Callithrix jacchus: one gene and its partner. The protein of the gene in region 1 interacts with the protein of each later gene in a pairwise test. Links are inferred from orthologs where the notes say so. Each region holds a gene or a part of one and is shown on either strand. Other genes may lie near its edges. The genes, in order: CLK3 and OAS2.

Region 1 (3,272 bases):
GGGGTGGGTTACCCGCTGGTACAGACTCCTGACCTGGTGTGCCTGCCTTGCCTTTCAGAGCTGTGAGGAGAAGTCAGTGAAGAACACCAGCATCCGAGTGGCTGACTTCGGCAGTGCCACCTTTGACCATGAACATCACACAACCATCGTGGCCACCCGTCACTATCGCCCACCTGAGGTGATCCTTGGTGAGTGACTGTATGGCCTGTGACCTTGTCACACTGGACCTGTTGGAAGGGTATGAATAGAGGCGGTGGCATGCCTTTCAGTCTCTGCCACCCAGGGCAGGCAGAGTTTCTCAGATCAAGGGGCCCATGTCATGAGACACAGGTGACTGACCTGGCCTTATCTGTCAGCCTTACTGAGAGGGGGCCTTGTACTGGGATTTGGGCAAGAGTCCTGCCAGCCAGTGTGGTGGTTGCCCTGTGACCTCCAGGCTGCAAGGACAGGGCCGGATCTCTCAGCCTCTCCCCATCTTGGCTTTCAGAGCTGGGCTGGGCACAGCCCTGTGACGTCTGGAGCATCGGCTGCATTCTCTTTGAGTACTACCGGGGCTTCACACTCTTTCAGGTACAGCTACCCCGCATCACTTCCCTACCCAAGCACTGCCGTTGTGACAGGCTGCAGGCCCCTGGGCTGGGAAGCCCCATGCGGATGAGAAGACAGGTTGTCTTCCTCCTCCCACTGGTCATGTTGTGAGGTTCAGACTCCTAAGGATATGGATGCTAAAGGGTATGCAGAAGTCAGGGTAGCTGGGACACTCAGAGAGGAGTCTTGTGCTAGGCCATCGAGGAGGGCGGATGGGGCAGGTGACCTGACCTTCTAGATAAGGGCACAGATGAATAAAGGCATTGGGATGGGCTGGGATAGGGCATGGGCTGCCAGGCTGCCGTTTCATTGGTAGGCTTAGATCTCCTGGGGCAGTGAGGGCACTTGCCCATCTCTCTTGTTCCTTATTCCCCGTGAGGAAGCCAGAACTAGGACTGACCCTACTTGCACTGTCTCTAATCTTCCACAGACCCATGAAAACCGAGAGCACCTGGTGATGATGGAGAAGATCCTAGGGCCCATCCCATCACACATGATCCACCGTACCAGGTATGTATCCCAGTAGCCCCCTCAGGGTTGGCATAGGGGCCTTTCTCTTTTGGCTGTGGGTCAACAGGGTACTAGACGTGGTGAATCTTTGAGGGACAGTCCATGGCTCCCCAGGCTCCTAAAAGCCTTTCCTATGTGCCCCTGCAAACCTGTTGCCCTGGTTCTGCTGCTGTCTTGGGAGCTGTTCTTCCCCACCCCCCACCAGAGGCTTGTCCCCTTACTACTATCACCACTTGACCCCACCGCCTTAATTTTCAGGAAGCAGAAATATTTCTACAAAGGGGGCCTAGTTTGGGATGAGAACAGCTCTGATGGCCGGTATGTGAAGGAGAACTGCAAACCTCTGAAGGTCAGTTTCTGGCTTCCCCAGCTCAACTCATCCCAAGGAGAGACCCCAGGCACTGGGCAGACTATACATCAGACAGGCCAGGCCGCTAAAGGCTGCCTCCTCGATCCAGCTCTGTGGGAGGCGACACCCAAGACTGCTGGGTGCTGGCAGTGAGGCTTCTTGCAAACTGCTCCAGAGGGGCCCTTAGCCCTACCCCTTCCCCATAGGGTGGCTATGAATTTAATTGGGGAACACCAGAAGAGCCAGATGTCAGAAACCCTGCTGCTTCCTGTCCCTCTCACCCTCTCTCAAAATTTTGGGAAGAACTAGGCAGGACTGAGGTGAGGGGGAGGGAAGACCTAGAAATGGCCAGGAAGCCTCTGTCAACTGCATTTGATGCTTGGACAAGTGAATTTCGCAGAGGTGATCTCTACCCACCTGTCAGGACTTTGCATGTGGGGGCAGAGGCATCAACCCAGCAAGACGCCTAGTAGCCTGGCAAGTTCCGAGCAAAACGTTAAACACGGGCATGAAAGGAAAGGAGCTGCTCATTGTCCAGGAGGGCGGAAGTAGAGTCCTCCAAGGAGGCATCACTGCCTCCTCGATCCAGTCCAGCAAGGCATCCCAGAGGCAAGGGGACCTGCTGAGGCTTCCCACTACCCTGCCGTCACACTGAGGCACCTTGTGTCCCTGAGCAGAGTTACATGCTCCAAGACTCCCTGGAGCACGTGCAGCTGTTTGACCTGATGAGGAGGATGTTAGAATTTGACCCTGCCCAGCGCATCACACTGGCCGAGGCCCTGCTGCACCCCTTCTTTGCTGGCCTGACCCCCGAGGAGCGGTCCTTCCACACCAGCCGCAACCCAAGCAGATGACAGGCGCAGGCCACCGCATGAGGAGATGGAGGGCAGGACTGGGCCGCCCAGCCCCTTGACTCCAGCCTTGACCACCAGGCCCCAGGCCAGAGCCACCCAACGAACAGTGCAATGTGAAGGAAGGCAGGAGCCTGCAGGGGAGCAGACTTGGTGCCCAGCTGCCAGAAAGCACAGATTTGACCCAAGCTATTTATATGTTGTAAAGTTATAATAAAGTGTTTCTTACTGTTTGTAACCCCTGGTACCAGTGTGTCCATCTCCAGGCTCCTTGCCTTCCCCTTCCCTGACCTTACTAATAAAGTATTTCTTAGCACTTCAGCTTGTGGAGAGCTAAGTGTGAACTGGGCCAGGCACAGAAGAGCTAGGCAGGGGTAAGACCAGAAGCAGGGACGTCCTCTGGGCCCTGTCTGCTGAGCAGTCCTAGATGGCACCTCTGCCCTCCTGGCTGCTGTACCTCTCAGCCCCGAAGAACCTAAGGGACTCTGCCCACTGTGGGGTCTGGTTTTCTGTAGCCTGCCAGCCCCATTACTGGCTGGGACTTTAGGCTGTATGTGCCCAACAACTATGGTCTGCTGAAGGCAGGAGGCAAGTGGGGCGGGTTCCTAGGCTGGGGCAGGCAGCACCTCCTGACAGCCTTCAGAGCAATTCACACACACGGCATAGGACTCAGTCATTCAGCTTTATTTCAGTGCTGGTTTTTGGTTCTCTAAGAGCTGCATGAGTGCTAGGCTTCACCACGTGACTGGGGACTCCTTGGGAACTGGATACTATAGGCAGGATGCCCCTGAAATAACTGAAGACAGGAATCTTACTTCTCTTCAACACCTCTGTGGAAGGCCTAGGCTGAGGATGAGGGAAGGGACAAGCCCCAAGGCCCCCTGGGGAGAGAGGAGTGAGAAGCTTGGGTACAAACTCCCAGTGGCCCCTCGGCTGGCATCCCTGGATTTTGCTGGAGAGAGCAGTCTCCTGGG
Region 2 (3,818 bases), on another chromosome or scaffold:
GACCTCATGATCTGTCCGCCTCTATTGTTTTGCCGTATTCCATTGTATTAACATAACATACATGTATCCATTCTGCTACTGATAGATGATTGGGTCATTTTCAAACTGGGGCAATGATGAATTAGGTTACCATGGATATTCTCCTACATGTCTTTCTGTGAATGTAAGCACTCATTTCTCTTGGGTAAATATGTAGCAGTAGAATTGCTGGGCTATCTAGTACACATATACAAATGCTGTGTACGTATCTGTGTAAATATATAAAATACATGTGGTTTATTTGATTCTTTTTTGTTTAACTATAGCAAATCTTGCCAAACCATTTCCAAAATCTTACCAAATTACCCTCTCATGAGCAACGTATGAGTTTCAGGCATGTTAATAAACCCAAGGATCTGCTCACCTAGCACAGCAAAGCCAAACAGTGACTTTGGGATTGCAGAGAAAGAGTGAGGCATTTATTGCAGGGAGCCAAGCGGGGAGAACTGGGCAGCTCATGTTTACGAGCTGAACTCCCCAGTGGCTTATAGGTAAGGGTTTTAAAGGTGAGGAGACAGAGGTTACAGGCAAAGCCATAAGTCAACACATGGAGGCTGTACATTGGTTTGACCTAAAAAGGTGGGACACGTCCAAGCAGGAGGGAGGAGGAGGATGGGTGGCACAGGTCACAGGATTCAAAGATCTTCCGATTTTTGATTGGTGAAGTAGGTGAAGCTTTGTCTAAAAATTTCAGATCTGCAGAAAGGAATGTTAGCTCTGGCTCATAGGTGTGACCTCCTCCAGGACCCTCAGGAAGAAATTTAGAACAAAGAAGGAGCCAGGGTTCAATGCTCAGCTTCCTCTTATCTGAGGTCTGCCTGCCAGTGGATTCACTTGGTGGGAGTCTGAGTTTCTGAAAATCAACTCAGGGACATATGTTAAGATGTTATCTTTAGTTTCTACAGGGAACAAAACATCTTCTGACTCTGACTTCCTTGGCTATTGTTTTAAGTGACTATTACCTTCTTTTGTTGTTTTTATTTTATTGGGTTTTTTTTTCACTGCTCCTGTAGACCCTGAACTACTATATTTTTGCTTATCAAATGGCTCATTGACTTTTCAAAGCTAGTGAGGGGCCTGGAATTTCCCTTGAAAGAACTCAAGATTTTCCTTTCTTTTCCTGCTTGTGGGATGGGGGCAGTGGTGGCCTGCAGGCCCCTAAGAGAGGTCCCTGCTCCATCCCAGTTGCTTTACATCTTTGTCAAGACTTGGTATTGTGAGTCCACTGAATTGTAGGCATTCTGGCGAGGGAGAATGACTTCCTGTAGGCTTCTAGCTTCTTGATTTCAGATTGCCGACATAGGAAGAACTCGATCCCCAAATAAGCCACCACCCTTTTCTTCTCCCATAGTGCCAGGAAAAAATGAATGGTTTACCCTTGCTGTCTCCGTACGCCCTGGAGCTGCTTACTGTGTATGCCTGGGAACAGGGGTGCAGACAAGATGACTTCGACATTGCTGAAGGCGTCAGAACCGTTCTGGGGCTGATCAAATGCCAGGAGCAGCTGTGTATCTATTGGATGGTCAACTACAACTTTGAAGATGAGACCGTCAGGAACGTCTTGCTGCACCAGTTCCAATCAGAGAGGTGCCAAGCTTCTCATGCCCTAGCCCTGTACCTCATCATCTGCGTGCTAGGTGTACCTCTTTGGAATGAGATCTCAGCCTTGCCCTGTCCAGTCAGTGATGTACCAGAAGAATGGCAGCCGCCATGGGTGGGGAGGCAGAGGGGTCTGTCTGAAAGAGGGGAGGTCCAACCATTGCTTTTCACGTTCCAAACCATAATCACATTTTGTCCCCTAAACAAACACATGAAGCGACACTTCCCCTTATAGAAAGAAGGGGCTAAGAGAGAAGGGGGAGTGGCAGGAAGAGAAGACCAGTTTGTTGTTTCATTAATAGAATGTCTCTGCAAAGCAGCAAACGCAGGGCCAGAGGAGCTTGATGTCCTAGACAAAACCCTTCAGCAGCTTGGAGGAGCCATGGGAATCCAAATTCAGGTCACCAGATTCCCACTCAAGGCCTCTTTCCCCAATACAGATTTTGCCCCTCACAAGAAGCTCAACTGATTTTTTTTAATCTAATGGAATACACAGGCCAGTAATCTTGGATCCAACCGACCCGACCAATAACGTGAGTGGAGATTACAGATGCTGGCAAAGGCTGAAACAAGAGGCTCAGACCTGGTTGACTTCTCCCAACCTGGATAATGAGTTACCTGCACCATCTTGGAATGTCCTGGTAAGAGGGTTTTCCAAATACACGGTATTGCATGCTGCAGGAAAGTCTTCCTGCCACCCAGGCTAAGTATTATCTGAGAGTTCCCTGTATTAATTTCCTGTGCTGCTGTTACAAAATTCCGCAAAACAGGTGGCTTAAAACCACAGAAATTTATTCTCTCACCATTCTGGATATTGCTGGTTCAAACTCAGGGTGTTGACAGGGCTACACTCTCTCTGCAGGCCTTAAGGAAGAATTATTCCAGGCTTCCTCCAGCTTACAGTAGTTGCCAGCAGTCCTTGGCTTGTGGCTGCATCACTCCAGCCTCTACCCCTGTGGTCACATGCCCTTCTCCCTATGTGTCTTCACATCAGCTTCCCTCTGTGCATATCTGTCTTATTGTCTCCTCTTCTTCTAAGAGCAACAGTCTTACTGAATTAGGGTCCACCCCAATGACCTAATTTTCACTAGATCCCATCTGAAAAGACACTATTTCCAAGTAAAGCACATTCGCCAATACTGTACGTTGGAACCCCAGCATCTTTTAGGGGGACACAGTTCAACCCTCAGCACACCAACAGGGGCAATGACTGTAAAGTCCAAAATGGAACAAAGAGAAACGGGGTACCCACAGATGCAAGATCTCAATTAATTTCTTTAAGAGAGACAGCCAGGCATGCGGAGACATGAAACAGAGCATTGTTCAGAGAAGGGGCGGCAGTCAGGCCTGTCGCTGCCAGGACAGGCTCTGAGCTCCATTCAGGCAGGTGCCGGGGGCAAAAGCCAGAAGTGGGGCCAAAACAGGAGAACCAATTAAGGCACCAGCTGTGAAACAGGTGCACTGGACTTCCCCCTCCCATCCCCAAAAGGAGAAGTAAATCCACCAACACGAACTCCCCTGCATGCTCAGCTCTTATTAGAGAAAAGCCATCCAAGAAGAAACTTCCCAGGTTAGACCACTGAGCCCTCTCAGCTTTCCTGGGAACCTCACTGGGGACAACTTTATTAATTGAGGCCAAAGGGGCCAACCAAATTCCACACTTCACAGGCAGGAGATTAATTTATATCCAAGTTATGGGAGACAGAATCCACATCACATTTGCACAGAAATTTGAAGGCTAACTGAGCACCAATCTGGCATGTAAATGAAGACGTAAATGAGTTTAGCAAAATTCACAGAAGCGGGGGAGTCTATGAATGGGGAACTTCCATAACTGGACCCAGCAGGATCAGGATGCTCTGAGCAGTCACCCCAACCCCTACTTTCACTGGACCCCTGGTCTTTGCTCCCTGACCCCAATTTTCCTGGCTTCTTCAGGCAGATTTTTTTCAAAAAAATTACCCCCTCTTCCCTGACATTTTATTCTGAAGCTTTGAAACATTTAAAAAGTTAAAAAAAATGGTTCAATAAACTGCTAGGAGCCCCTCATGCAGATGCATCCTGTGTGACATTTGCTATGTTAGTTTGTAGTACACGTTATTATTATTGTTGTTATAGTTGTTTTTAATCTATTTTTAAAGGTGGGATCTCACTACATTGGCCAGGCTAATCTCAAACTC

What was found.
Region 2: the proteins of CLK3 (region 1) and OAS2 interact in binary tests that used the Homo sapiens proteins (3 or more experiments, as listed by UniProt). The two-hybrid records come from large-scale screens. The link is inferred for Callithrix jacchus from reciprocal best matches to the Homo sapiens genes CLK3 and OAS2.

Annotation. Positions count from the first base shown.
Region 1 is NC_133509.1:21,630,221-21,633,492, reverse strand, and holds the end of CLK3 (dual specificity protein kinase CLK3), read left to right. Parts: intron 1-58; coding exon 59-188; intron 189-487; coding exon 488-570; intron 571-1,018; coding exon 1,019-1,098; intron 1,099-1,356; coding exon 1,357-1,447; intron 1,448-2,124; coding exon 2,125-2,301; 3' UTR 2,302-2,536; downstream 2,537-3,272. UniProt on the Homo sapiens protein: Dual specificity kinase acting on both serine/threonine and tyrosine-containing substrates. Phosphorylates serine- and arginine-rich (SR) proteins of the spliceosomal complex.
Region 2 is NC_133510.1:115,976,207-115,980,024, forward strand, and holds part of OAS2 (2'-5'-oligoadenylate synthase 2), read left to right. Parts: intron 1-1,390; coding exon 1,391-1,626; intron 1,627-2,134; coding exon 2,135-2,279; intron 2,280-3,818.